7 linked regions of the Rattus norvegicus genome follow. The protein of the gene in region 2 binds, or shares a complex with, the protein of the main gene of each other region. Links are inferred from orthologs where the notes say so. Each region holds a gene or a part of one and is shown on either strand. Other genes may lie near its edges. The genes, in order: Pml, Sumo1, Daxx, Senp2, Sae1, Pias2 and Ranbp2.

Region 1 (4,230 bases), on a different chromosome or scaffold from region 2:
AGTATCTCAATCTTCAATATGATAATCATTGAAATTCTCTTAATAGATATCACATCGCATAATAAAAAATTGAAGGGAAAAACCACAAATATTTGTACACAATATGACTGAAACAACTGCCCACCACATTTGGCTGATCTTAGTTTGATGGCCTAATTTTAAAGGCCAAGGAATACTGGTCAGCTTGGAGGTATGGCATACTTTCAAGGCCTTTCATAGTCTCCAGGATGCTGGGTTTCCCTTTAGCACCCAACTCGCCCCAACTCTTAAGTTACACCATCCCTTCTAATCAGTTAGAACAGAGAGTAGGGTGGATGCACACAGGGGCCAGAAAAGTGGGTGGGAACAGACTGAAGTCAGAAGCCAAAGGCACTGTCCAATGAGAGTGTCTGCAGTTGTGTGCTTTCCTCACTCACTGGGTTCTGAATTGCTTTTCATTGGCCAAAAAGCTAACTTTCTATCTTCTTGTTCTTTTCACTGCTGCTGGCCAGCTCCTCCCTGACTTCTCTACCTCCATACAGAGCACATTCACCAGACCTATTCGTCACATCATCCTGTTCTGTCATCACTGTCCTTCCACTGACTCAGGTCTGGCTGCCTCCCACAACCACTTTTCATAGGCCACCTGCCTCAAGGTCATCCGAGAGACAAAGTTGACACTTTGTAGCAAACCCTTCACCAACTCTCTGATCATATACAGAACTGGTTCATCTCTCATTTTATGATTAATCTAATCTTCTCTGACATCATCACAGGAGCCCCATCTCAAGTCTGAAAATGGTCCTAACTACTTCCCAAACTGGCTCTCTTGTTTTAGACCTCCACTCCTTTCCAGGTGCGTGCCTCTCTTTAGAGTGTCCGTGCAACCCTGAATCCCTGGTGATTTTCTATCTCATGCTTCATTCTCAGCTGAGGGATGCCTTTCCAGGCAAACCCATCCCAATACTGGGTCGACGTCTCCATTTAGGGTCACTTGGGGGCTCGCTCAAAGAGGGGGTTTATTTCTCTACCTGGCTTTTAACTAGAAAGACACAGAACTGTGAGGTGAGTTGAATAGCTCCCAGTCCGGGAAATAAACGCCTCTCTGTTAGGCAGTCAGCTCTGCATCTCTCCTAGTGTGCATGCTGAGTGCGTGATAGGATCTTTACTTGTAGAGCAGTCAAGCTCGCGAACATTCTGCTACAGAGCTGTGCCAGCCTGCCGGGCTTGTTTACGTGCTTGTTTGGTTAACCTTTCTGGCTCTATCTGAGTTTGTTCCATAACTTCGCAGTCTTTCTCTTAACTTTAGAAGGGAGACTACAGAACGAGCCTCTCCGCCCCTAGACCCGCCCAGTCCTGTCTCACTTCCTCTCGGGAGGCGGGCCCTCCGCGGGCACCTCCCCGCAGCTCACTTTTCTGGCTCAAGTCTGGGACGCATTTCCCGCCCTCACAGACCCAATCCAGAAATCGAAACTGAACCAGGCTCTACGCAGAAGGCGCCTGCACCCTCTGGATCTCTCTGTCAGCAACTGGATCCTGCCCTGATCCCCACGCCCACCATGCCTCCCCCAGAGGAACCCTCCGAAGACCATGAACACAGCCAAAGCCCCGCGGAGGTACTACTGGATTAGGAGATGAGGGGATGCTAGGGTTTTTTATTCGTTTACTTTGGTGGGGAAGTTGAGAACAGAGAAGGTCATTATAGAAAAGTGAGTTAGTGTCCTAAAGAGACACCAGGGTCCTGAACCCCCTGACTGGGCATGGATAGAACTGATAGCGTAGAATAAAATAGGAACAGGATGAGTTACAGAAGCCCTGGGGACAGTTGGGTTGCAACTCCTACTCCCTGAAGCCTTGCCCTTTATCTCCTATCTCTGCCATGGCCTGGAGCTAAAGGCATGTCCCAGGCATGGCAGAACTAACTATAGCACCCCCACCCCGACCCACACACAAACACTTCCAGTTTCTCAGCAGTGGTCGCACATCCCAGGAGCAATAGAACTTGGGATGTGGGAGTTGGAGGAGGATGACAGGTTACAGGCCAGCCTAGTCTACAAAGAGAGTTCAAGACTGCCGAGGGCATCACAGCAAGACCTGTTTCAAAACAAAACAGAACAAAACCTGGTCCAGATCAAAGTGCCTGCTAAAACCAACATGATCCATGCAGAGTCAGTCTCTCTCTCTCTCTCTCTCTCTCTCTCTCTCTCTCTCTCTCTCTCTCTCTCTCTCCATACATTTATTTTATGTGTATGAGGTGTTTAGGGATTTTTATTTTATTTTATCGTCTTGAACACAGGGTCTCACTTTGTAGTCTTGGCCTAGCTGGAGCTCACTGTGTAAACCAGGTTGGCCTCAAACTCCTAGAGACCACCTGTCTCTGCTTTCTGAGCTCTGGGATTAATGTATGCATCCCCAAGGTCATGGGTCTTTTCCTAAGGAAGCCTAGCTCATGGTCCTCCCGGAAGTATTGCCTCAACCCCCCCTGAAGGAACTACCCCCATCCCGCTATTCTTCATTCCTTTTTCTCTTGACAAAAGCACAAATAAGGCCACATTGCCATAACTTTTTATATTAGCGTTGTATAACTGAGGGTTAAAAATACTAGTTAACATTAACGGGTACTTCTCATGTGCCCAGTACTGTACTGAGAACTTTGGACCATTTACACACCAGCTCTACCTTTTGTATCTATGAACTAACTAGTCTTATTGTTTAGTATGACTGGAATTACACAGTATTTCTCATTTTATAGCAGGCATATTTCATTTAACACAATGTCTTCAAGGTTCATCCAGGTTGTTGAATGTATCAAAAATTTCATTCCTTTTTAAGGTTGAATAGTATTTCGTTACATTTGCAGCCACGTGTTGTTCACGTATTCCTGTGCTAATGGACACTTGGGTCACTGTGACTTTTGTGGTGGTGTTGCTAGCTAGGCACATTAGTATATAATTATATGCCTGGATATTTTTCCCAGTTCTTTTGAGTATATATGAAAAGTAGAAGTTCTGGTGGTTTAAGTCTAACTTTTTGAGGACTATCCCACCAACTGTGTTAAGCACTTTATATGAAGTTGGTACTTTTCCAGACTCGAGTTCTTTAAAGGCAAAGATGTATCCAGTCTTGTATCTCAGTGTCTACTAGTGAGTCTGAGGATAAGTAGATGGGAGTCCAGTAAATTGTGTGGCGAGAGCTGCAAGGCCTCAGTAAATGAGGAACTGGGCTGCCGATAAGCCAGGACAGGATCCAGTGACTCCCAGGAATGGAATGTGAGGTCCTACCTACTCCAGCCTCCAGCTGAAGGAATGGGTGGCCAGTGGAGGGGACAGGACTTTGGGGCTTTCTGTAGGCCTCACTTCTCTCTCCTTGGTTCACCAGCAAGCCATAAAGGAGGAATTTCAGTTTCTGCGCTGCCCGGGCTGCCAGACCCAAGCCAAGTGCCCCAAACTGCTGCCTTGCCTGCACACGCTATGCTCCGGATGCCTGGAGGCGCCCGGCCTGCAATGCCCGATCTGCCAGGCACCGGGGTCGGCCAATGCTAATGCGGAGGCCCTGGATAACGTGTTCTTCGAGAGCCTGCAGCGGCGCCTGGCGGTGTTCCGGCAGATTGTGGATGCGCAGGCTGCGTGCACTCGCTGCAAAGAGTTGGCTGACTTCTGGTGTTTCGAGTGTGAACAGCTCATGTGTGGCAAGTGCTTTGATGCACACCAGTGGTACCTCAAACACGAGGCCCGGCCCCTGGCCGAGCTCCGCGACAACTCAGTGCGCGAATTCCTCGACAGTACTCGCAAGTCCAACATCTTCTGCTCCAATACCAACCACCGCACTCCTGCGCAGACTAAGTAAGTGAGGCATCCTGGAGCTGGGGGTGGGGGGTGGGGGGGAGCTTCAGGGAACTGTCACTCAAAATGAGGTCCGCTGGCTCGTAGGCGTTTCTAATGCCCCTCTTGGGGGAAAAATGTGATGTGTAAAAACAGTACATTTTAGTATTTGTCACCACCGAACTTTAGATGTCTTAAGAGTAGACTTTGGGGTTGGGGATTTGGCTCAGTGGTAGAGCGCTTGCCTAGCAAGCGCAAGGCCCTGGGTTCGGTCCCCAGCTCCAAAAAAAAGAATAGAAAAAAAAAAAGAGTAGACTTTTCCTTTGGAGGCCCCAGGAATCTCAGTAAGCTGGATAGGGGCAGGTTAAATAGTGTTTGAAAAGTTGAAACTACAGCCTCAGGGAGTGCTATCTGAAAATGACTACATGCA
Region 2 (3,950 bases):
TGGGCCACTTATAATCGGCTCATTACTAATTACAGAAAAGATTATTTTATTAATGTCTTGTACTGTGAAGGTTTTTGACTTACTTTAGTTTTCATTTTTCCCCCCTTTACTTAGTATAACCTTAATCTTCCCTGAATGTTTGTGCAAGAGGGTCACTGTATTCAAAGGAAGATGTTTAGGTCTATGATGTAAGGCAACTAGTTTATGAGCTGGAGGGAGCTCTTGCAACTTCAACTTTCAATAGCATTTTGGTCATCTATAGCCACCAAGACTTTGTTCTAGAGCTGGAGATGTGGTGGCCCAGGTCTTTAATCTCAGCACTGGGGAGGCAGAGGCAAGAGGAGGCCAGTCTGGTTGACTTAGCAATGTTCTATAATAGCCAGAGCTACTTAGTGAGACCCTGCCTCAAAACACAAAACAAAACCAAAGATGTGACCGGAAGGGTTGTTTCTTCATGCCCCACCCCTAGACTCCCACAGGGTTCTTCCATGTAGCCTTGGCTGTCCCGGAACTCACTTTGTAGACCAAGATGGCCTCAAACTCACAGAGATCTGCTTGCCTCTATCACTCGGAGTACGCCACCATAACTCAGCTCGTTGTGGTTAACTTCATTCACTCTGACATGCTAGTGGCTTCCAAATCGCTTTCACTTTCTCTCTTGTAGAAAATGAAAACTTGTTACTATTGTATTTCTAGTAATCAAAGTCATGAATGTGGCAGCAGCAAGCAAGAGGGGGCCATAAAGATATTATACAGGGAATTCACTATATTCAGGAAGAGTTGGTTCCGGCCTCAGAAGCGTACAAGATGTCCAACAGGGAGGAGCCTAAGCGGTCAGTTTGACCCCAAACACACACAGCCTGCAGGCAAAGCGCTGGTCTCCCTAAGGCCTGAGGCAGCGGGCCGGTTTTCCCGGCCCCGCTGAAGACCTAGCGGTTCTCTTGCTCCAGGAAAGTAGCTTAACCTTGACGATTTCATCTCCCGCATTCCCTAAGGCGTTTTCCCGCTTCCCTTTCCCGTCTTCCCAAACTCTCCTCTGCGCGCTGCGGAAGTGACGCAAGACGTAGCGGAAGTCCCTGCAGCCGCGGTGTTGTGCTGTGGAGAAGAGACGGATTTGTAAACCTCAGAGTGCGGTTCTGCCTGCCGGAGGCCGCTGTGGTGCGGAGACCCCCGGGTGAATCCACCGACACCATGTCTGACCAGGTACCGGGCCACGGCCTTGGGGCTCAGGGCCGTCGGCTGCTGGCTGAGCCCCTGGAATGGGGCGCGGGGGGAGGGGGTGATGTTGGGGGAGGGGGCTGCCGGTGGGGAGGGGGCCGCGAGGGACGCCGAGCGCCTGGCAGAGTCGGGCCGAGCCGCCTGGGATCGAGGGTCTCCGGGTTTTACGCACCCTCCGCGGCCCTTTCGGAGGCCTCTACCCCCACGCCATCCAGCGCCGGGTCTCTTTCGACTGCTCCCAGGTTTCTCTCGGGCTCGCTGGGGGCCCAGGCCCGCTCCCTTGTCCGTGAGAGCAACCTGGGGGAAAACGACCGTTTCCCTTTCAGAGGACCGATGGCAGAAACAAGGCCCTAGGCCCAGTTATGTAACGGGAGAGAATCCCTGCCTGGGAGGCTAGGTGGCCCTGAAAAGCAGCTCGATTCTACTTTGGGTTCTTGGTCCCGGAGAGTGGGGGGCGGGCAGGGATCCTTGTTTGGGGTGACTGGGAACCCAGGAGACGCTGCTTTTCAGTTGTGTTTGCCTGGAGGGTCAGTCCGTCTTTGCCCACTTCAGAGTCATTTTTCCATCCGGGGGTGCGGAGCGGTCGACTCTTTCTCTGTACTTTCCATTTCTTACTCGGGATTGGTCCATCAACTCTCCAGTTGTAGGAGCGCTCAGAATAACCGAGAAACAACAAACTGCGTAGAGTGCCACCACCAACATGCCATCCATACGGTTTTTGTCTGGCTTTCCTTTTGTTTGGTCAGATGACTTAATTTTCAGAGTATTTTTTTTTTTTTTAATTTTTACTTCTTTAGTTACAATTCAGCAAACTTTTTTCATTCTACTTTACATTGTAGTTGAGCTTTTTTAAAATTTTTTTTGTTGGTTTTTTTTTTTTTTTTTTTTTTGAGACGTTGGTTTTCTGTGTAGCCTGGTTGTCCTGGAACTCCCTCTGTAGACGAGGCTGGCCTCCAGTTTATAGAGATCCGCCTGTCTGTTTCCTGAGGATGAAAGGCTTGCAACCACCCCAGACTGGCCATAGTGGTTCTATTTTTATAGCCTATCTACACTGTAAATTAGTTGTGGGATGGATTTACTTATTAATAATCTGGATTATTAATCTTTTGGGCTAGAAATGACTTTATGAAGCCCATAATTTGTTTATGACAGTTGTTTACTTAGTTACCAGAGAGGAGAGATCAGCTGTGTAAACGCTTATGCTTCATCAGACTTCTATTTTTAAAGCATGTTAGCCAGATGAGAGGGCAACATACAGAAAGAGTTTTAAGTTTTAGGATTAGTTTTGCTCTAGTTTGAACTTACATTATGTGAGGATATGAAGAAAGAAAAGAGGACCCTAGGACACAAGGTTTCAGGGAGTCTGCAAAGTCACTCTATGCTTGCTTAGGACTCTCTCACCTCACTTGGGGTCTTTGGGTGCTGGACCTAGGGCCTCCCACATGTGCTTGCCAGGCAGGCACTAAACCCTCATTTCTCCTTTTACTTCATTTCATTAAGTTGTCTAGGTTGGACTGTAACACACTTGTCTTTGAACTTGGACTCCCTCAGCCTTGCAGAGTAGCTGGGATTACAGAGTTATGCTGCCACACTTGGTGTGTGTGTGTGTGTGTGTGTGTGTGTGTGTGTTTCTCATTCTATCATGGATGTTCAATGAAAATTTTAGAAACATGACAAAAAAGTAGAACAAATCTTTTTTTTTGAGGCAGGGTCTTAACTATGTAGCTTTTCCTGGCCTGGAACTCAGTTTCTCCTGTGTCTGTTTCCTGAGTGCTGGGATTAAAGATGTCTACCACCACAGTTGGCAAAACAAGTCTTTTTTTTTAAATTGAGCTACACATTAAAGCAATTTGCATAGGAAATAGTGCTGCTACTCTTAAAATTTTTGTCTTTAAAAAAAGTAATAAAAATGTATCTAACATTTTAGGGGTTTATTTAGTTCAAGTCAAGGGTTTCTCTGTGTAGCCTTAGTTGTCCTGGAACTTGCTATGTAGATCAGATTGGCCTCAGATTTTCCTTGCCTTGCCTCTGCCTCCCAGAGTGTATACCACCACGACAGCTGGGTTGATAGGTTTTTAAATCATTGAGAGTGTGATAATGGATTTGGGAGCTGTTGCTTTAGGCTGATGGATAACATTAATCTTAGTTCCCAGAACAAGTTCAGTATTGAGTGTTAAAGATTTGGAGAAAACGGTTAAGTGAATCCTTGCCTGTAAGAGGTTTATAAGTGAGAGTAGGAATCCCCAAGTACTGTGTGTAATAGCAACAGCCTGAGACTGAGCTGTCTTCAGAAGGTGGCCTTAGAGGGTACTTTTTCAAGTTGGGGGGTTCGATAATGTGCTTGACTTGAATACAAGATGCCCTCCAGTACCCATGCACATTTTATTTTCTGAGGCAACTCTTAGAAGCTTGTATCTTGTGCTTAAAATAGTCACATTGAGTAATAGTTTCAGCTTTTCTCTTTGTTTTGAGATGCTCTCACTGTGTATCTAGGCTGGCAGTGATCCTTCTGTTTTTACTTTCCTGAGTCCTGGGATTACAGGTGTATGTGTATGCCACTGTGTCTTGCCATAATTTCAGTTTAAAATGAGTGGATCTTTATATCTAAAATAGATCACAATCTAATGCCTAAACCTTGAGAATTCACTGAATTATGCAGTTTTTTTAAAAAGAAGGTACTATAGGTCCCATCATTGGTACATGATTTCCCAAAGAATGAGGATCATTCTATA
Region 3 (4,274 bases), on a different chromosome or scaffold from region 2:
CTGCACTCATGTCATGCAGAGACTTACACCGGCACACACATAAAACCGAAATAATTGTGAAAAGGTGGGGAACCTTCATTTCAGGCATTCACTCTGGGAAACCCACTTTGAGAAACCCAAGGATATGAAAATTAAAACCTTCATTATCTTTAGAGTCCCGTTAGCCACTGGAAACCCCCCCCCGCCCCCATTGAAAGCCGTAAGACCGGACGGGAAGCGAGGAAGAAGTGGGTTTAAATTTGTAGTTCGGGTTCTCTTGAGAGCAGCTGGGCTTTCTTTTTTTGGGGGGGGGGGGGCTGAGGACCGAACCCAGGGCCTTGTGCTTGCTAGGCAAGTGCTCTACCACTGAGCTAAATCCCCAGCCCCGAGAGCAGCTGGGCTTTTCTTGGTCCTGCACATTGGTAAGATGCCCGCCACCTGAGGCAGGAAGACCGCGTTGATGCAGTCTCCGCGCGAAGGGTGTTGACTTATCAGGCTTCCTCGTCAGCACACCTGAGGGCCTCGCCTCTCCACCCCGGGCCCGGCCGGCATCACACAGTTGTTTTCCCCTCTTCCTTTTCTCCGCAGCTCTCCAGGAGAAGGAAGACACCCCGCGTGATTTTATGAGCCTCGATTCGTTTCCCAGCGCTCCCAGCGGCAGCTTGCAGGGCTTCTCACCAAGCCCGCACCAGGTTATCCCGCGCTCCGCCTCAACGCCCTGCAGACCCCTGCCCGGAAGCACTGCCTTCCATACAGTCAAGACGACCCTCGGTGGAACAGGGGCCACGGTTCCCAGTAGGGAGCTCGGTCTGTGGTGCAGATTGAGCATCCAGTCTCGCGGACCGCAATAATAACAATACCTCACTCGGGCAGCATGCTGTGCTCATTTGTATGCATGCATATGTGCGTGTGCGTGTGTGTGCACCTGACCCAGGAGGCCCGGGCTGGACAGCCTCCAAGTGCACGCCGGCTCTTAAAGGGAAGGGCAAGCATAGGCAACCAGGCGGTGGAACTCTTGGTCGGAGGGAAAGCAAAGTAGGGAGTGCCAGGCTTACACCAACAGGAAAAGAAAATCCTTTATTTCCTTCCCTGGAGCCCTACACAGCCATAGACACACCAGCTCCTTAGGTACCTGCTCGGATGGAAGGATGGGAAGGTCTTCCCCGCCCTCCAGCCGATGGCGTGGGGTGGGAGGGCAGGTCTGGGGCAGGAAGTTTCTGATTGGCCGAGTGGCTTTGGCAAGCTCCTGGTGCAAAGAGCTCCACGCCTCGCGGAGCTGGCTGGTGCCGTACGGCAACGTGGCGCGCCCCATCTACCTGGTCCCAGGCCCCGCCCCCCTGAGTGTCAGTGCACCCGGAGCGGCGGCCTAGGTGGGCGGGCCACGCGTCACTTCCGGTCCCAAGAAGCCTAGGTCCCGTACAGCAATATGGCCGCCCTCAGGTGCTGCAGGCGGAAACTCCGCGCCTTCCGGTCTGTTGTAGGGCCTGAGGTGGGGGTGGGGGAAAGGAAGGCGGAGGGAACTTTGCGAGGATTTGTGATCCGCGCTGAGGGGAGCCTCGAGAGACCGTTTCTGAGGTGGGGGCCAGGTCGTTCGTGGAGCCGGGGTGGCGGCGCAGGAGTTGGCGAAGGCGAAGGATCCGCACGGCCTGGCTGCGGAGTCTGAGGGGCGAGCTTGTATGGTACCTTGCTAGCCCTGAAGGGGAATGTGGCGGCCTAGGGCTGAACGCGGAGAGGGTTACTTGGCGGGAAGCTGAGGCTGGAGACTGTCCTCGCCTGGGGCTGGAAGCCCAGACATTGGGAATGCTGAGTGGTGGGCTTGCTGTCGGTTACGAGTCACAGAGAATGGGGAAAACCTGGGTGCGGTGAGAGGGAGGGGACTGGAGGTGAAAAATCTCCAGCCTGAAGTCCGGGTTTGTGGAAGGTGGAACATGGAGATGGTTGTAGGAGCGGGAAGGACACCAGGCTCTTCAGAGGGAAACCCTTTAACCTCGGAGTGGAAGAGTTGGAGTTAGGAAGAAGTCGGAGGGGACTGTGATGATGGAGGGCGAGAGGTGGGCAAACCCATGTGGTGGTATCGACTGGGTGTTGGTTTCTGTAGACGGAGAGAGCAGTGTGGGATCTTATACCCCATCGGATTGGGAGTAGGAAGAAAAAACTCACCAGCTGACAAGAGAGTGGGGAAAACGCAACCGAAAGACAGGAAATTGACTGGGGGCTGAAATTTGGGACTTGAGACGATCGATGGGGAGGTTCCCCTTCAGAACTGCCTGAGACTGATAGTTGCAAAAGACAGGCTTTGAAGACATCTCAGAAAGGACGAGGCTATTGTGAACCCTGAGGTATCTGACTGAGTGGGACTAAGGAGGAGGGGCTTTTCCTGAGTCACCCTTTCCCTTCCAGAATTCTGACCTTTCAAATACTTTTTCCCTCAGGGGGATTTGATCCCCCATGGCCACCGATGACAGCATCATTGTGCTTGACGATGATGATGAAGATGAAGCAGCTGCTCAGCCAGGACCCTCCAACCCAGCCTCTAATCCTGTCTCACCAGGACCAGAAGCCTCTGGTCCCTCTGAGTCCCATGGGGATGGAGGGAGCAGTAACTCAGGTAGCAGGAAGTGCTACAAGTTGGAGAATGAGAAGCTGTTTGAAGAGGTAAGCTTCAGGGAAGGCTCCCTTTCCTTTAAGAGAAGGGTCTCGCTTTGTGGCCCTGGTTGCCTGGAACTGTCTAGATGAGGCTGGCCTTGAACTCACAGAGTTCTACTTGCCTTTGCCTCCTGACAGCTGGGATTCAAGATGTGAATCACTGGGCTGGAGAGACAGCTCAGTGGTTAAGAGCACTGACTACCCTTCTAGAGGTATCGAGTTCAAATCCCAGAAACCACATAGTAGCTCACAACCATCTGTAATGGGATCTGATGCCCTCTTCTGGCGTCTGAAGACAGCTACAGTGTACTCATATATAGAATACATCTTTTTAAGAAAAGGATGTGGGGGTTGGGGATTTAGCTCAGTGGTAGAGTGCTTGCCTAGGAAGCGCAAGGCCCTGGGTTCGGTCCCCAGCTCCGAAAAAAAGAACCAAAAAAAAAAAAAAAGAAAAAAAGAAAAGGATGTGAACCATTATGATGTGATTGGGCAGATCCCAAGGAAAGGGGTGTTTGATTGGCTGATTGTTCTGGCTTCCTCACTGATTCCCTCTTTTTTTTTTTTTTTTGGTTTTTTGGTTTTCCCGTCCCTTCCCCCGAACCGTTTAGTTCCTTGAACTGTGTAAGATGCAGACATCGGACCACCCTGAGGTGGTTCCGTTCCTCCACAAACTGCAGCAGCGTGCTCAGTCCGCTTTTCTGGCCTCTGCAGAGTTCCGCAACATCCTCTCCAGGGTTCTGTCTCGGTCTCGGAACCGGCCAGCGAAGCTCTACGTCTACATTAACGAGCTCTGCACTGTCCTTAAAGCTCATTCCATCAAGAAGAAGTTGAACTTAGCTCCCGCAGCCTCAGCGGAATCATCGGGTGATAACCCTCCCACAGATCCCCCGTCTGACCTTACAAACACCGAAACCACTGCCTCTGAGGCCTCAAGGACTCGAGGCTCCCGGAGGCAGATCCAGCGCTTGGAGCAGCTGCTGGCACTGTATGTCGCAGAGATACAGCGGCTGCAGGAAAAGGAGTTGGATCTGTCAGAACTGGATGATCCCGACTCCTCCTATTTGCAGGAGGCCCGCTTGAAGCGGAAACTGATCCGCCTCTTTGGGCGGCTGTGCGAGTTGAAGGACTGCTCTTCTCTGACTGGGAGGGTCATAGAGCAGCGAATTCCTTACCGAGGCACTCGATACCCAGAGGTCAACAGGCGCATCGAGCGGCTCATCAACAAGCCGGGGCCTGACACGTTTCCGGACTATGGAGATGTGCTGAGAGCGGTGGAGAAGGCGGCGACCCGGCACAGTCTGGGCCTTCCCAGACAGCAGCTTCAGCTCCTGGCTCAGGATGCCTTCCGGGATGTGGGTGTCAGGTTACAGGAGCGCCGCCACCTGGATCTCATCTATAACTTTGGCTGCCACCTCACAGATGACTATAGGCCAGGTAGGAAGCTCCTGGGATGATTTCAGGTGGAACAGAGGCAGCTCTAATCCCTTCTAGGATTGGGACTGACTGCTCTGACCCTGTTTCCCCACACAGGCGTTGACCCCGCACTCACCGATCCCACATTGGCTCGCCGCCTTCGGGAGAATCGAACCTTGGCCATGAGCCGGCTGGATGAGGTCATCTCCAAGTATGCCATGATGCAAGACAAGAGT
Region 4 (3,500 bases), on a different chromosome or scaffold from region 2:
GCCCATTCTTGATTTTAATCAATAAGCCTTGATCTGAAGTCACGTTTGGAATCATGCTTGTAACAGGAAATACAGCGGTCAGCTCAGACAAAGATTATAAAGGAGAGCTCCAGGTTAAACATCCTTCCTGTAAAAACCGCAGTTTACCTCAGGGATGTTCAACTGCTGGGCTCCATGCAGACATCCCTAAAATCTAAAAACTCTGAAACCAAAGGCATTTCTAGTCCTAGGAATTTAAGATAAAGTTTGTAATATTTTTATGGACAGTAACGAGATTATGCCTTTATTTCACCCCGATCCAAACTGGTGCTTTCCTTTCATATTCTTAATACTTAGGGGATATGGCTGTAAAGACAGGCAAGCAAGAATATCCTGAGCAGCTCACCCAGCTTCAGCATGCTGCTGCAGGATCCAGAAGTCGTCAGTTCACAGGAGGGAGAGTTCGAGAACACCTAGAATAAAAGTCACTTCTAAAGTTGCAATTAAGCACTAACATAAAAGTTCACTAAACTCACGTCACTTTCAAGCTGGCACACAGAAATGATGCCATTCAGGTAAAAAGTCACAGGACAATGTTAAAAGATAGTTACAGATTTCTCACAAATACTTAAATAAGAAAACAAAGACCAAATTTCCCTTTCCAAGGGAGAAGCTGTGCGGCACAGGCTGACCTCACCCTCACTTCCTTGTTGAGGCTTGGTCTTGCTGTCTATTATAGTGCTGAGTGCAGCCCCCAGGACTTGGAGTCTGTATGCAGACCTTTGACTCTGCCCCCAAGTTATTTCTGATTGGTAAATAAAGGTGCAACAGTCAGTAGCTGGGCAGAAGAAATAAAGGTGGGGCTTAGGTTTCTTAGAGAAGAGAAGCCACCATAGGTTAGGTGAACCATATAAACTTGGCCCTGAGGGCTGGCCAATTAGAGTTAAGAGCAGCCCAGATGAAACAAAGTAATAACTACGGGTCATCTATAGGAAAGTAGATTCTAATAGCATAGAGGGTAGGTATTTTCCCAGCTCTTGTGCTGTTTAAGGCTTATTGTAAATAAAAAGGTTATGTGTGTCTTTTATCTGGGAACTAAATGGTCATAGGCGAGGTAAAAACCCTGGGTCAGGGTTAAAAAATTATTACAACACTCCACTCTGTTCTTTTTTTGTTTTTAGGACAGTGTCTGACTGTAGCCCAGGTTGGCTTGGAACTCACTATGTAGCCAAGCGAGTCTCAATTTCATAATGGTTCTTCTTCTTCTGCCTCTACCTGCTAAGGATTACGAGCATTAGCCACTGCACCTGGCTTTGCTTTCCCTTTTGGCTTTTAAGTGAGGGTGTCACTAGGCTGTCATAATGGTCTTGAAGGTCGAATCTACCTTAGCTCTTCTGCAGCTGCCTTCTGGACACTAGAATCACAAGAGCATGCCACCAAGCTGAGTTATCTAACACTGTTTAAAACTGTTATTGCATTCTCCTCCCCCTTTTCTGTGCACAAATGTGTGCATGCACATGTGTTTTGGTGCATGTCTGGAGGATAGAGGACATCCAGCAGGAATTAATTCTCTCTCTCTACAATGTGGGTCCTGGGGACTAAACTCAGTTCATCAGGCTTAACAGCTCTTTACTCACTGAGCCACCTTGCGGGCTCCAAAATATTCTTCATAAATATTTTTAAAGTATTTAAATTATTAACCTTTAATTTTTTTACTTTCATATTAAAGTTAATAAATGCATGATCATTTCTGGAATAAATCAATATATATGTTAATCCCCCAAAAGACTATGAGAATTTTTTAAAATTTTATTTTACTAATGTTTAGTTTTTTAAAACTAAGGACAAATATCACAGTGTGAAGGGCTGGAGATAACAACTCAGCAGTCGGCCCATGCTTAAGAGCCACAAGACTCATGCCAAGTACAGCTTTAATCCCAGCACTCAGAACATAGAGGCAGGTGTATCTCTAAGGTTCGAGGCCAGCCTGGTCTACAAAGGTCAGCCTGGTCTACAAAGGCCAGCCTGGTCTACAGAGTGAGACTATGTAAAGAGACCAGGTCTCAAAAAATCAAACAAAACACAACAACAACATAAACCCAAGCCACCAAAGCCACAAAAAAGATATAGAAGGCTTGGGGGCTCCATCTCCATAATAAATAAATACATACATACATAACTACATAAATAAATGAATACAGTTAATTTAAAAACAAAACAACAACAAAAACCACAAACAAATGAAAGCCCCAAAAAAATCAAAAAGGGAAAGAAAAGAGATCAGTACCCAAGTCCCAGTCCCACTGACCTCTCCTGAAGGGGCCACATTCCGTGTTCCATTACAAGCAGAAGACACCATGGGTTTGGTGGTCAGCTGGAATGGGAATCCAAATAAGCTGGCCGCATTGTAGAGACTGTTCTTCACTTGGTGAATGAAGCAATCTAGAAAGCACCAACCAGCTATAAACATAGCACTAAACTTTCAGAAAAAGCTAAGTTTTCAAAAGAATCTTAGTTCTTAATAAAGTCTTACTTCTGAACACCAAAATTAAAATGTACCTATAAAAATGTTCTTGGGCCATCGAGATGTTAATGTGTGGCAGTTTTGCTGCTCAAGCCTGGCAATGCTAGTCTGACCTCCAGAACCCATGAGAAGATGGAGAGAAGTGACTCCACGGGCAAGTCCCAGTACAACCCACTCACACATGTGCATCATGCACACACTAACAAGTACTTTTTCCGACTGATAAAAGGAATTCTAGTGTGTGAGCTTGTGTTAGTCAACTACCCGAGCTGCTACCAGAGCATTCAACCATTACTGTGGTAAACCACAGACTGGCTCCCCAAGAAGGATGTGAAATAGCCGCTTTTGAGGAGTGCATTTTGTAGAGTTCATATAGGGAAGCTTCTCCATGAATCTTCACTGGCTAAGTGAGCACTCACAGTGGGCATGGGGTCCCACAGGGAGCACTAACACTCACTCACTGATCTGCCCATCCGTCCCAGCCAGGTAACAACGATTGCCTTAAACAACCATCCTCCAAGCCCTGACAAATCTTGGCTGACTGAGGATTAGACACACAGGTCTTACGCATCTGTGACGAGGAGAAACTATCCCTCTATGGAACTAGATGCATCGACCCTCTCAAGCCCACTTCTTCCTGGCACCAAGGATTACAAAACAGAAATAAACAAATGGGGTGTGTGTGCCTCAGTGCTCTTCTGCCTTCCTCTTTCATCATACTACCTCTTCTCACTTCCGGCACATCTATGCTGCCTACAGTTTCTTCGTCACTAACTGAACATTAGTCGATGGGCCTCCTACGAGGTGGCCTCCTTTCTTTTCTTTACCTCTGCTTTTTCTTCTCCCCTGAAGCTACCTAGAGTTTATCTACTGTAGAAGCCAGTAGTCAGGTGTGCTTCCCTACTGATTACTTTTATATCAGTGAAAATTAAAGTTCAGTTCTTTATGGAGGGACAATGGCTCCCACCTGTACTCCAAGAACTTGGGAGGCCGAGGA
Region 5 (3,500 bases), on a different chromosome or scaffold from region 2:
TCCTGTTTGCTCACAGATATGTATTTCCTTAGATTCTCTTTCTTTTTTAAATGTTTGCTGTATGAGAGCTTTGATATGTAGCCCAGGATGAATTCAGACTTGCAGCAATCCTACCTCTGATTTGTGAGTGCTGGGGTTACAGGTATGTATCACCATACCACTTTCCTCTTAGGTTTAACTTAATCAACTTTTAATGGGAATATAGTGTAGTTGGCAATAATATCTAAGAAGTAATGAAGCCCTAGGTCTGACCACCCACACTTCATAAATAAGTGTGGTGACTCATGCCTGTAAGAACACTGGGGAAGGGTTGGGGATTTGGCTCAGTGGTAGAGAGCTTGCCTAGCAAGCTCAAGGCCCTGGGTTTGGTCCCCAGCTCCGAAAAAAAGAAAAAAAAAAAAAAAAAAGAAAAAAAAAAACACTGGGGAGACAGAGGCAAGATCAGAGTTGAAAGTCACATAGTCAGCTAGAGCTAACCAAAATCCTACCTCAATGGCAATAAAAAAGTCAGAACCTATGGCACGTCCCTTCATCTCAGCACTATGGAGGCAGAGGACAGGCTGATCTCCATGAGTTTGAGGTCAGCTTGGTCTACACAGGCTCCCAGCCAATCCCTACATAGTGGAGCCTGCCTGGCATGGAGGCGCATATGCTTGCCTTCAATCACAGCACTCGGGAGGTGGACGCAGGTACATCTCAGTGACCAGATTGGGCTACACAGCGAGTGCCAGGGCAGTCAAGAACTACAGAGAAACTCTGTCACAAAACAGACTAACCAACAAACAAAAGTCAGCTTTCTTCATATCACAGTAGAAAGTCCTAGTTTTTTTTGTTTTTTTTTTTTTCTTTTTTCTTTTTTTCGGAGCTGGGGACCGAACCCAGGGCCTTGCGCTCGCTAGGCAAGCGCTCTACCACTGAGCTAAATCCCCAACCCCAAGTCCTAGTTTTTTGAGGCAAGGTCTCATAGGCTTGAGGCTACACTCCAAGTCCCACGGCAGCCTGAACTACAGTGAGACCCTGCCTCAAAAGACCAAGATGCAAGCAAATCAGCAAAAAATCGTTAGAAAACTTACATGTCAGTGAGGCTTGGAAGTGTATAAACACACACTTCCAACCCCGAAGAAGAGACAAGCCAGAGAAAGCTGCATGTGAACCGGGCACTGCTGTGCTATCTCCATATGATGTACAGTTTAATACTGGACGCTCACCATTCTCTGTATATGCATTCTATATACCTTCTCTCTGATTCAACATTTTTCAAAGTAACATTGGTGAGTTTCACGTACAAGATTATTTTGACTATTTTTGTTTGTTTATATACCTTTATTTTGTGTGCATTGGTGTTTTGTGTGCATTGGTGTTTTGCCGGCATGTATGAATGTGAGAATGTCAGATCCTGCAGTTACGGACAGTTCTGAGCTGCAATGTGAACGTAGGGATTTGTACTTTGAAAGAACTCTCCAGCCCCATTGTGACTTCTTTAGGAGCCTCATTATGTAACAAAAGCTAGGCTTGAATTTATAATCCTGCCTCAGTCTCCTGAGTGTTGGGATTACAGGCAAGTGCCATCACACTGACCTGAGGTGTCTGTTGTATGTTCTCATTCCTGAACCACTCCAGACCTTCTTCTGAATCAGCAGCTCAGGTGCTGAAGGCTACATACGTGCATAAGCCTCCATCCCGCCTCAGTCTCCCACCTACAGGTCACTGAACCGGATTTGCCCAGCAGCACTCACACACAGCACTGCCTCTTGGAGACCAGGCAACCAGATGGTACCTACCTGTTCATGGTCCAGCATGGTGAGCCCTTTCACTCCTGCCAGGATAAGGTTCTTGGCGATTTCAGCCCCAAGTCCTTTCATGCCGACAATCAGTACCCGAGAAGCTCGAAGCCTGTGAAACACATGCTATGTTATTAATCCGATGACCCCAAACAGTGGGACTTGTTCAATCATAGAACAATAGAAAAAGTAAACTTAATTTTCACTATATGTACCACAAAACCACCACTGAACCTTCAGATCTAGAAAACAGGTCCCAAACAATTCTGCACAGAAAATTACTTCTTTATTGAGCAGGTACCATGCATCTTCTCCACAATGTACAGAGCAGTAAAGAAAGCAGCTCTTTAAACATAAGACTAGGGGTTGGGGATTTAGCTCAGTGGTAGAGCGCTTGCCTAGCAAGCGCAAGGCCCTGGGTTCGGTCCCCAGCTCCGAAAAAAAGAAGAAAGAAAAACAAAAACAAAAAAAACCAAACAAAACAAAAAAAAAAATAAGACTAGATGATGCTGCTGGGGTTATAGCTCAGCCTTGCACGTATGAGGTCCTGCATGGATCCCCAGAAATACAAAATAAACGTCTAAAAAGAGGACAAAGGAAGACGCAATTTTAAACAGACCAGTGGTAATGATAAAACCTTTCTGAAGGAGTGTATCTGTAATCTGAGCGGCTGGGAAGCTGAGACAAGAGGGATCTCAGGAAGTTCACATCCAGACTAGATCACAAAGATCTTATCTCAACAACAAAAAGAAACCCAGAGAAGGAGCTTTTCAATCAAAACGAAATAAACAAGCAGCCAACATACAGATAGCGGGAAAGAAAGCATTCCACTATAGAAACCTAAACCTGTAAGCACACGAGCTCAGGAAGGGACACCTGAAGCTGGGTGGGGTGGGCACCTTTAGTCCCAGCACTCAGGAGGCAGAGGCAGGCAGATCTCTGTGAATTCTAGGCCAGCCTGGTCTACAAAGCGAGTTCCAGGACAGCCTGGGCTGTTATACACACAAAAACATGTTTCAGAAAAAAAAGGAAAAGAAAAAAGCAAAAGGAAAGAAGGGGTTGCCTGGCTTGACCGCTTTCAGAGACAGCAAAAACAAAGAGGTGCAACGTGATGCAGAAAGGACCAATGTGAAGTGTGAAATGAGGGGCACAGCACGAGGTAGGCACTAGAAACCGTGTGCACGCGCACTCAGACTAGTATAGTAACCAAAGAGGTGCTGAAAAGGCAGTATAATTATTATGGTTTGTGGACTGAACTCAGGGGCTCCTGCCAGAGCAGGCAAGTGCTTTACTAATGAAGTATAACCCCCAGCTCAGTAAGAGGAGCATTATTTAATCTGGAGCACAGAAGCAAAATACATGGAGGCACAAGAAGTTGTGGGTGCACACCTGTAATTGCAGCACTGGAGAGGCAGAGACAGGATCGGGGGTAGAGTCATGCTATGCCACATAGTTAGGCCAACCTGAGCACAACAAAAACAGGTAGGGGAATTGTTTTGATTTCTACAAAGAAAAATAAGACAAAAAAACAAAGCACCTGGAGAACAAACACCAGGGGCTCTTTTTCAAAATGACTTCCACAATCGGTGAGTGCTTACTTAAGCGTTAAAGTCTTTAGTACGCCCAGTGGCTGTCAGGTGCTGGGGTGCATAGCTAAAATCCCAGCACTTCTTTTTTTTTCTTTCTTTCTTCTTTTTTTCGGAGCTGGGGACCGAACCC
Region 6 (3,500 bases), on a different chromosome or scaffold from region 2:
ATAGCTTTCTTAGTTCTTCAGGTCGATTAACAGGACTTTCTACTGATGCTTGGTCTCAAAATGAAAGCTAACAGTTTAGATATTGACTGAAGCAGAAAGTTTATATTGAATTCATTTTTTTATCCAGTAAATAAATGGAAATATTTGTGAATATCAACTGTCATAGTCCTATTTCATGGAAGTAAAACATAATCCTGTTTGAAATTGAGGTAGATGTTTATGGTAGGGTTTTTAGAATTTGTTTTGTTTTAGCCACAGGGATGATTTACATTTTTAAATGAATGGCTGTGGTCATTGTAGGCACCTTAGTTGTGTTGTAGAATAGAAATACTTTTTTCTTTTGTAATAAGGTCTGATCAGCAGACCTAAAATTTAGGCAGTGTTATTGGAATTTGGATACTTACAAGGCTGTCAGAGTATTTAGAAGTGTTTGATTCAGTGGCTGTTGAGCGGTCTCCATTGTGGAGTTGAGTGAGTGTGTGCAGTGGTCAGAGGCCGAGCAGTGCTGTCAGTGGTCAGCAGGGCCTCTAAAATACCTGAGTGTGGGCCTGGATATGGACACTCTCTGGCCTTTGTCTTTAGTTTTGTAATTTGTTTCTTGTGTTTTAGTTGTCCTTCTATTTAGGAAGTGGAATTAATTTTTATTGGATTTATTTTAGAAAAAAGAAGCTGGTATAGGTTTTATTTTATGATGTCATTTGCTCTAGGCCATGTAACATGTAGTCTCATCAGAAAGAATTAGAAGTTTGACACTCTAAACTTGAAGTGTTAATTTTAGAGCAGAGCCATTTGAACTTCATTTGTGCAGTGTGAACCATTTCCACATGAAACTAGAAAAGCAAGCATTGTTACATGAGTAACTAAAACCAGGGACTATTCTCACGGTGACTCCCAAGCTACTCACTTGACTAAATTAAAAAACATAATCCACAAAAGCACTTGTCCCCACTATTTACCATACAAATGGATGTTTTAAAATAACAAGTGGTTGAAAATGATTTCATATTGAGAAAACCATTTTCTTACTCACATGCTTAGTTGATGTTTCTGTCCCAGTTGCCAGCACTCCTTTGGAAGTTGTTTGAGTGTTACTTTCAGAGCCTAGGTTTCTTCCTTTTATATTTTCTGTAAGTAAATAAACCAACCAACCAAAACCCCATTATGTGATCTTTATAATGGCTTTTCTTTCTTTGTAGAATTACTCCATGTCTGTGTATCTTGTACGACAGCTTACATCAGCCATGTTATTACAGAGATTAAAAATGAAAGGTATTAGAAATCCTGATCATTCCAGAGCACTCAGTAAGTAATGTTTGTAAGACTAAGCATATGACACACTTTGGTGGAGGGAAATCCTTTGATATGTAGCAATACACGATAATTTTAATCACTTACACTTATTATATGTTTACCACATACATGCATATATGGGTACATATATACACATATACATATAATAGTTATGTATAGTTTAACATATTTTATAATGTATATATTATAATGTTATTAACATTTTACTGATATGCATTGCTGTTATATAATATTCATAATTATGTAACTATAAATAGCTGGGGCACATGACATATTTGTTACCCAGTGGAAGAAATCTTTGCCACATTGTTTTCAGTTGTTAGAGGAAAAAAAGAACGTATCTTTTCTGTTTATACATTTAATATCGTTGGAAACAACCAGGTCAGCCCAGTAAAACATAAGGAGAGTCAGGAGAAGTAACGTATTAGTGCGAGCTCACGGCCGCTCCACTCCATCTTCTCCTCCCAGCTGTTGTGTTAAATTCCAAAACAAACTTTTGTTTTTAATTTTTCTTTTTCAGTGGCTTTAGTGTTAAAAAGAAATCTTAAAAAATCCATTAAATATATGATATAGAGTTTGTTGATAATTCTTTAATAATGGGAATGTGGTTTATTACATTAATGTTTAACATTTTGTGCTTCTTTGCCTATTCAAAGGAGGGTAGGAACTTTTAAACTGTTTTCTGTAATTCTGTTCTAATATTACTGTTAACTTTAAAGTTATTAATACCATTTTGTTCTTTTTAAAGTTAAAGAAAAACTTACTGCAGATCCTGATAGTGAAATTGCTACAACTAGTCTTCGAGTGTCCTTGATGTGCCCTGTAAGTAAGCTTCTCGTAAGTGACTAAGTGTCTTGTAAGAGTAAGGGTGGGGGTGAGTGGAAGAGTATTGTGACGGAATTCTGAACCTCTGTCTCTTCCATTCAGATATCTTCATGAGTAAGTGTTAAGGGGTTTCCCTGTGTAACAGCTCTGGCTGTCCTGGATCTCCCTTTGTAGACAGCTTGGCCTCGAGCTCACAGAGATCTTCCTGTGTCTGACTCCTCAGTGCTGGAATTAAAGGCCAGCACACTGCACCCTCCTTGTTTTTTTGTGTATTTAATTATTCTGAAGAAAGAACGCACAGAGTTGTTACAGAAGAGCAGAAAGCCTTAGGGTCAGAAAAGTGTGGTAACTGATGCTATAAAGTAATGCAGTTAAGAGGCTTTATCAGAGCGCATGTGATACTGTACATAGCAGTGACATTACTGGAGCCTCAGATGGATGCTAATTGATAGTTTGGCCTAGTGAGTTATGATGTATGGGCTGTCTTTGCAGTATACTTTTAAATTACACAAAATTTTTATCTCATATATTCTTACGTAGAGACATGGGAGAGAAATCATTCCCAGATCTGATATCCTTCTGTGCGATGTGTGGTTGGCACTGAGCTAACTGAGAGAAAGCAGACAATCTAGTTAGAGAACACAACCCATGAAAAAGTGGCAGACTCTACCTAGTGACAGGTGTGGAGGGATGTCAGGGACAGTGGGTGGAAGCTTCCTTACGTTAGGTTCCTGGAAGAAAGGAACTTTATGCGGAAAGCTATGAATCATGAATTTCTAATGTAACTTTGGATGACATTTGATGATTGCCACCAATATAAAATGTGTTTTTTTTTTTAAATTGAGAGAAAGTAATATCAGGTGTGTGTGTGGTGGGGGGAGGGTTGGGAAAGAAAATATTTTTTGAGTCTCCATAATGTGTAAATGTTTCAACAAACCCTGAGTGAGGCATAGTTTTTATTTTGCAAATTAAGTAGCTGAGGTTGTATAACCCTAATCACAGGGCCACTAGTAGAACAGGAATAAAACTTTTCTTCTGATAATTTTGTTTCCAACAGTTGCTGCCAGATTGGGCTAAAATACCGATACACCGAGCTTTAGTAGACCTGCTGTTTAGCTATTTTATTTTATTTATTTATTATATATAAGTACACTGTGTGGCCTTTATTTAGTTATCTTTACGCAGCTTTTTTCCCCCCCAAAACATCATTAATTTTGTGCGTGTGCTTGGAGCTTGCCTCTTAGGCTAGTCTGTCTGGTCCGTGAGCCTAGGGATGTGCCTGCCCCCTGAGTCCCAGCACTGTTCACACGTGTACCACCACCACAACAGGGTTGGTTGGTTTCAACCTCTCCACCACATGTTGT
Region 7 (4,195 bases), on a different chromosome or scaffold from region 2:
AAAGAGCAAAAAAGACTAAAAATAATTAGGACTGGCAATGTGGCTTCAGTAAGTAAAGGTACCTGCCATTAATTCCATTCCTAGGCATCACATGGTAGAAGAGAACCAACTCCAGCAAACATCCACACATGTGAACCTAAACACACACACACACACACACACACACACACACACACACACACTTGCTCCCAAAATAAAATGCAGTAAGATAATAAATTCAAGTATCAAGCAAAGCATTGGTAAGAACACGGAGAAACTGAAGCCACAGAAGTTGATAGCAGGAATATAAGTACAGTCACTATAAAAGAGAGTCTGGGACTCCCCAGAAAATACTAATACACAGCCCAACAATTATTTCTCAGTGTAACTCAAGGGATTAAGAGCAAGCACTCAAATGTTTTTATATCAGTGTTCATTGCATTACACATTATTAGGCAAAAGATATAAACAACCTAAGTGTCAATCAACAATAAATGAATAACCAAAATGTGGCATACCTAAGATAATACAAACATAAAATATTGAGCCACTGAACAGGAATAAGAACATCACTCTCCACAAAGAAAGCAATGCAGTAGTAGCCCGTGCCTTTAATCCCAGCACTGGGGAAATGAAGGTGGGCGGCTCTCTTAGTTGGAACCAGCCAGGCCAAGTCTACAAAGTTAGTTCCATCTGGGTACACAGAGAAACCCCATCTCAAAAACTAATTAAAAAAATAAATAAATAAAAAGAATAAGACTCCCAACACCCTACAACATAAATGACCTTGAAAATATACTAAAAGGAGCACAGAACAAAAAAAAAAAAAAAAGAAAAAGAAAAAAAAAAGAGGCTGTGGCATTGTTTCTTAATGGTTACAGAACTTGTTTGGCATAATTTAAAAAAAAAAATACAAAACAAAATTGGAAATAAGGGTTATGACCGAACAACTCTGAATGTAAATGTCACAAAAGTGAACAATGAATGAAACTAGTTAAAACAACAAATTTCTTATAGTTGTCATACTATCCAAGTCAACCCACACTGACCAACCCATCCAACCTTACATAACATTTTAAAACATATCTTGGTATGGTACATATGTGGCAGCACACACCCTCAATCCCAGAAGAGGCGGGGGAATCTGTTTGAGACCTGCCTGGCCTACAGAGTGAGTTCCAGAACATAATAGAAACCCTGCCTCAAAACAAAAACAACTCCAAAGTCAGATTTGAATACACAGAGACCTTGAAATGGTTCCTAACCTAATTTGACAACTATTTACACATTTACATAGTATATTAGTTGAGTTTGCTTTATCTGAAATGCTTGGCATTTTTAGATTTCAGGGTCTTGTTTTTTTGGTGTTTGTTTTTAGATTTTTAAATATCTTCAAGCATGTTAGAGATCCTGGTGACAAGACCCAAGTCTAAATATAAACACATTTGTCTAATGTACACCTTATAGATAGAAATCTGGAAGCACTTTCATACGATAATTTTTGTACCCTGGCATTTTGACTTTGATCCATCAGAGGAAACTGGGTGTAAAATTTCCCACTTTGGCATACCTGCACTAAATGAACTTGAGATTTTTAAAATCGCTTTGGATTTGATTGGGGGAGGGGGATTATAGATTTATTAGACTGGATTATTTAGCCCATAGAAGCCATCTAAAGAAGAGCTTCAAAGTAGGTAACGAAAAAATTATGCCATTTTACAAAAGGGACACATGTATGTTCACGAACTTTGGTATATATAGATGACCATAAAACCCTCAGAGACAACTATTTCTCTGAACTTAAAAAATAATATACAACTGAATTGTGTGTTTGTATACACAAACTGAAGCTCTGAGTCATGAATCCTGGGTAACACTAACAAGATAAAAATTCCGTTTTATTGATGAAACGTCTATACTGTACCAAATTACTGTTTACAAATGGCAGAACTAAGATTGTTCAATCCCCCCTCCCCAAAAATTGATTCTAGATCCTTTGTACATCTCTCTCCACCGGCAAACACTCTTGAAAAACCGAAAATAAATACAACACATTAATGACCTTAAAAAAAATAAAAAAGGAAAGCTACAGAACATGTTACAAAATAACCCTAGAAATGTTGGGGCGTGTCAACTACTGCCTGGAAGAAATCCCTAACCTTCCGCCTTTAAATAAAAAAACTTAAAAAAAGAAAAGACTAGCAGCTTCCAAATGAGGTTTGGGGAAGTGGGGGGGATGTAAGGAGCGGGGCACAGCAATAGAAGACTCAAATTATGGGCCTTCCGTGTCATTTGTGCTGACGCGCCCTTACGAATGTGGCTGCTCTTGCTCTCCGCGGAGCCACCCACACAACCGTAAAAGCCCACCGCCGTGCGGCGTCAGCTTCTCCGGAGACACCGCCGCCGCGACAGGGCCTAGCTATCCCAGAGACCGAAGGTGCCTGCTGGACGTGTCTCGCAGAGCGCCCCACGCCGGCCTACGGAGCCGAGGCCGAGGAAGCTAGGCCTGAATGGGCCCGCGGACCGCCATGAAGAGCAAACGTTGGCGGCCGCAGTCCCGACGTCTCCGGTGCTCAGCAGCGCCACGCCGCCGCGACCGCCTACAGCCAGGCGGGAGCCGAGGCCGCCGGGAGCCATGACGCTGGCGCACAGTGCCAGCCTGGCCAGACTTGCTTACCTCTCGGGGCGACGGGGCGGAGCCCTGCACCGAGGCGATGTACCGCTCCACCTCGGCCTTGCTGCGCCTCATCGTGCCGCCGACCAGGCTCCCCGGGAGCGGCAGGCCAGCTCTGGGGCCTACAGCGGCTGCGGTCTCCAGGAGGTGAGCGCCGAACACCGGTGACGCAGCTCCGTCGCGAGCGGATAGGGACAGTGCGTGCGACGTGCGTCATCACTGTGCGCCTCGTTGCAGTCTGACGCGCCTGCTCGTTGTCACCCCAAACCGCCTGCCCTTGAGACCACGTGACCATGTCGCACACGATTGTGAAAAACTCCCTTCCCCAGAAAAATCTGTATATTTCACTATTGCTACGTCACAAAACGGACCCAAAATGGCAGTACTGCAGACAGGGCCATAAGAATCCGACCTTTTCGGGACTACATCTAGTCCACAGTTGATTTCCTTCTAAAGAGATAAACTTCATTATTGCCTCCGGTTTCCATAGAATAAAGGTGAATATTGGACAGTGATTTTCTACTTAAATAAACCAGAGTGGGAATATTAGCGTCACATGATGAGATGCACCTTCCCGGGGTAGTTGACGGTTAAGGGCAGAGAAGGGAAGTGGTGGCTTTTCTGACAAACAGAAAGAGGCTTCACCAGGTTTTGAGCAAGGATGATTTTAGGTTTCTGTATGCATAAGAATCGAGGCGGTCATTAGGACATTGTCAGCAGCATTGCCTTTTGGGGGCCTGTTTTGTGACTTAACAATGAGCAGAACAGATTATACTAGACTATTAAAATTAGTCTCTTCTTGCTAGAAAGATGGCTCGCAGTTAAGAGTTCTTGCAGCTGGGGGTTGGGGATTTAGCTCAGTGGTAGAGCGCTTGCCTAGCAAGCTCAACGCCCTGGGTTCGGTCCTCAGCTCCGGAAAAAAAAGGAAAGAAAAAAAAAAAAAAGAGTTCTTGCCGCTCCTCTGAAGAACCAAAATTCAGTTCTCAACCGCCTATTCCAAAGTATCTATCTAAATCCAGATTCTGACCTCCATAGCGCGCGTGCGCGCGCGCGCGCACACACACACACACACACACACACACACACACACACGTCCTCATGTACACACAAATCCTTTTTTTTTTTAAGTAAAAGATTGTGAATAAACTGTTGTAAATAACTCCTGAAAAGAATCTGTATCTGCAAATACTGATTAAAACCGCAGTGGAAAGGTTAGAGTGGCACAGTTCCAGATATCAAATACCTTACTGTCAGATCCAAAGAATACCCCATCCCATCCCCAAAAAAGGCTGCCCCGCTGACTCCAAAATTGAATCTAATTTAGACTCAACCTGGACTATGGAGGATTTCTGGCAGTTAGATAAAAGCCTGCATTCCTTAGGATCAGTGAAACTGGTTCCTATCTACCAAAAGGAGTCATTTCCCTTTCCCCTTGCAGAAATGACTTATAGATGTATGCTAGCCTCCAGGCTCCCCAATCTCCACTTAAAAGTACTCTTTAGACAATTCAAAGCCCCCTTGCCAGCATGCTGGCTCCTCGCT

The links.
Region 1: the proteins of Sumo1 (region 2) and Pml are in contact, whole or in part, in a crystal structure (PDB 8DJI), measured with the Homo sapiens proteins. The link is inferred for Rattus norvegicus from reciprocal best matches to the Homo sapiens genes SUMO1 and PML. Residues at the interface, in NP_001005781.1 of Homo sapiens: Gly19, Glu20, Tyr21, Ile22, Lys23, Ser32, Glu33, Ile34, His35, Phe36, Lys37, Val38, Lys39, Thr42, Lys46, Leu47, Ser50, Arg54, Glu84; in NP_150241.2 of Homo sapiens: Glu554, Arg555, Val556, Val557, Val558, Ile559, Ser560, Ser570, Ser571, Ser572, Arg573.
Region 3: the proteins of Sumo1 (region 2) and Daxx are in contact, whole or in part, in an NMR structure (PDB 2KQS), measured with the Homo sapiens proteins. The link is inferred for Rattus norvegicus from reciprocal best matches to the Homo sapiens genes SUMO1 and DAXX. Residues at the interface, in NP_001005781.1 of Homo sapiens: Lys17, Glu18, Tyr21, Ser32, Ile34, Phe36, Lys37, Val38, Lys39, Thr41, Thr42, His43, Lys46, Leu47, Ser50, Tyr51, Arg54, Gln55; in NP_001135441.1 of Homo sapiens: Glu731, Glu732, Ile733, Ile734, Val735, Leu736, Asp738, Ser739, Asp740.
Region 4: the proteins of Sumo1 (region 2) and Senp2 are in contact, whole or in part, in a crystal structure (PDB 1TGZ), measured with the Homo sapiens proteins. The link is inferred for Rattus norvegicus from reciprocal best matches to the Homo sapiens genes SUMO1 and SENP2. Residues at the interface, in NP_001005781.1 of Homo sapiens: Asn60, Arg63, Leu65, Glu67, Gly68, Gln69, Arg70, Ala72, His75, Glu89, Tyr91, Gln92, Glu93, Gln94, Thr95, Gly96, Gly97; in NP_067640.2 of Homo sapiens: Asp386, Lys394, Leu395, Arg396, Trp410, Leu411, Asn412, Asp413, Glu414, Thr440, Phe441, Pro444, Lys445, Arg456, Trp457, His474, Val477, His478, Trp479, Met497, Gln542, Gly545, Ser546, Asp547, Cys548, Gly549.
Region 5: the proteins of Sumo1 (region 2) and Sae1 are in contact, whole or in part, in a crystal structure (PDB 3KYD), measured with the Homo sapiens proteins. The link is inferred for Rattus norvegicus from reciprocal best matches to the Homo sapiens genes SUMO1 and SAE1. Residues at the interface, in NP_001005781.1 of Homo sapiens: Asp30, Ser31, Ser32, Glu33, Ile34, His35; in NP_005491.1 of Homo sapiens: Thr179, Lys180, Val181, Ala182, Lys183.
Region 6: the proteins of Sumo1 (region 2) and Pias2 are in contact, whole or in part, in an NMR structure (PDB 2ASQ), measured with the Homo sapiens proteins. The link is inferred for Rattus norvegicus from reciprocal best matches to the Homo sapiens genes SUMO1 and PIAS2. Residues at the interface, in NP_001005781.1 of Homo sapiens: Tyr21, Lys23, Val26, Glu33, Ile34, His35, Phe36, Lys37, Val38, Lys39, Thr42, Lys46, Leu47, Ser50, Tyr51, Gln53, Arg54; in NP_004662.2 of Homo sapiens: Lys466, Val467, Asp468, Val469, Ile470, Asp471, Leu472, Thr473, Ile474, Glu475, Asp479.
Region 7: the proteins of Sumo1 (region 2) and Ranbp2 are in contact, whole or in part, in a crystal structure (PDB 1Z5S), measured with the Homo sapiens proteins. The link is inferred for Rattus norvegicus from reciprocal best matches to the Homo sapiens genes SUMO1 and RANBP2. Residues at the interface, in NP_001005781.1 of Homo sapiens: Asp30, Ser31, Ser32, Glu33, Ile34, His35, Phe36, Lys37, Val38, Lys39, Thr41, Thr42, His43, Lys46, Leu47, Ser50, Arg54; in NP_006258.3 of Homo sapiens: Asp2631, Val2632, Leu2633, Ile2634, Val2635, Tyr2636, Glu2637, Leu2638, Pro2654, Thr2656, Cys2659.

What each region holds. Positions count from the first base shown.
Region 1 is NC_086026.1:67,552,089-67,556,318, reverse strand, and holds the start of Pml (PML nuclear body scaffold), read left to right. Parts: upstream 1-1,430; 5' UTR 1,431-1,538; coding exon 1,539-1,595; intron 1,596-3,357; coding exon 3,358-3,821; intron 3,822-4,230.
Region 2 is NC_086027.1:68,600,004-68,603,953, reverse strand, and holds the start of Sumo1 (small ubiquitin-related modifier 1), read left to right. Parts: upstream 1-1,150; 5' UTR 1,151-1,191; coding exon 1,192-1,203; intron 1,204-3,950. UniProt on the Homo sapiens protein: Ubiquitin-like protein that can be covalently attached to proteins as a monomer or a lysine-linked polymer.
Region 3 is NC_086038.1:4,974,921-4,979,194, reverse strand, and holds the start of Daxx (death domain-associated protein 6), read left to right. Parts: upstream 1-1,474; 5' UTR 1,475-1,554; exon of another isoform or gene 1,555-1,658; intron 1,659-2,077; exon of another isoform or gene 2,078-2,318; intron 2,319-2,411; 5' UTR 2,412-2,427; coding exon 2,428-2,634; intron 2,635-3,233; coding exon 3,234-4,059; intron 4,060-4,155; coding exon 4,156-4,274. UniProt on the Homo sapiens protein: Transcription corepressor known to repress transcriptional potential of several sumoylated transcription factors. Down-regulates basal and activated transcription.
Region 4 is NC_086029.1:92,516,141-92,519,640, forward strand, and holds part of Senp2 (sentrin-specific protease 2), read right to left. Parts: intron 2,422-3,500; coding exon 2,288-2,421; intron 453-2,287; coding exon 386-452; intron 1-385. UniProt on the Homo sapiens protein: Protease that catalyzes two essential functions in the SUMO pathway.
Region 5 is NC_086019.1:86,205,090-86,208,589, forward strand, and holds part of Sae1 (SUMO-activating enzyme subunit 1), read right to left. Parts: intron 1,894-3,500; coding exon 1,782-1,893; intron 1-1,781. UniProt on the Homo sapiens protein: The heterodimer acts as an E1 ligase for SUMO1, SUMO2, SUMO3, and probably SUMO4. It mediates ATP-dependent activation of SUMO proteins followed by formation of a thioester bond between a SUMO protein and a conserved active site cysteine residue on UBA2/SAE2.
Region 6 is NC_086036.1:72,953,707-72,957,206, forward strand, and holds part of Pias2 (E3 SUMO-protein ligase PIAS2), read left to right. Parts: intron 1-1,196; coding exon 1,197-1,302; intron 1,303-2,059; coding exon 2,060-2,133; intron 2,134-3,500. UniProt on the Homo sapiens protein: Functions as an E3-type small ubiquitin-like modifier (SUMO) ligase, stabilizing the interaction between UBE2I and the substrate, and as a SUMO-tethering factor.
Region 7 is NC_086038.1:26,983,919-26,988,113, reverse strand, and holds the start of Ranbp2 (E3 SUMO-protein ligase RanBP2), read right to left. Parts: upstream 2,801-4,195; 5' UTR 2,729-2,800; coding exon 2,657-2,728; intron 1-2,656. UniProt on the Homo sapiens protein: E3 SUMO-protein ligase which facilitates SUMO1 and SUMO2 conjugation by UBE2I. Involved in transport factor (Ran-GTP, karyopherin)-mediated protein import via the F-G repeat-containing domain which acts as a docking site for substrates.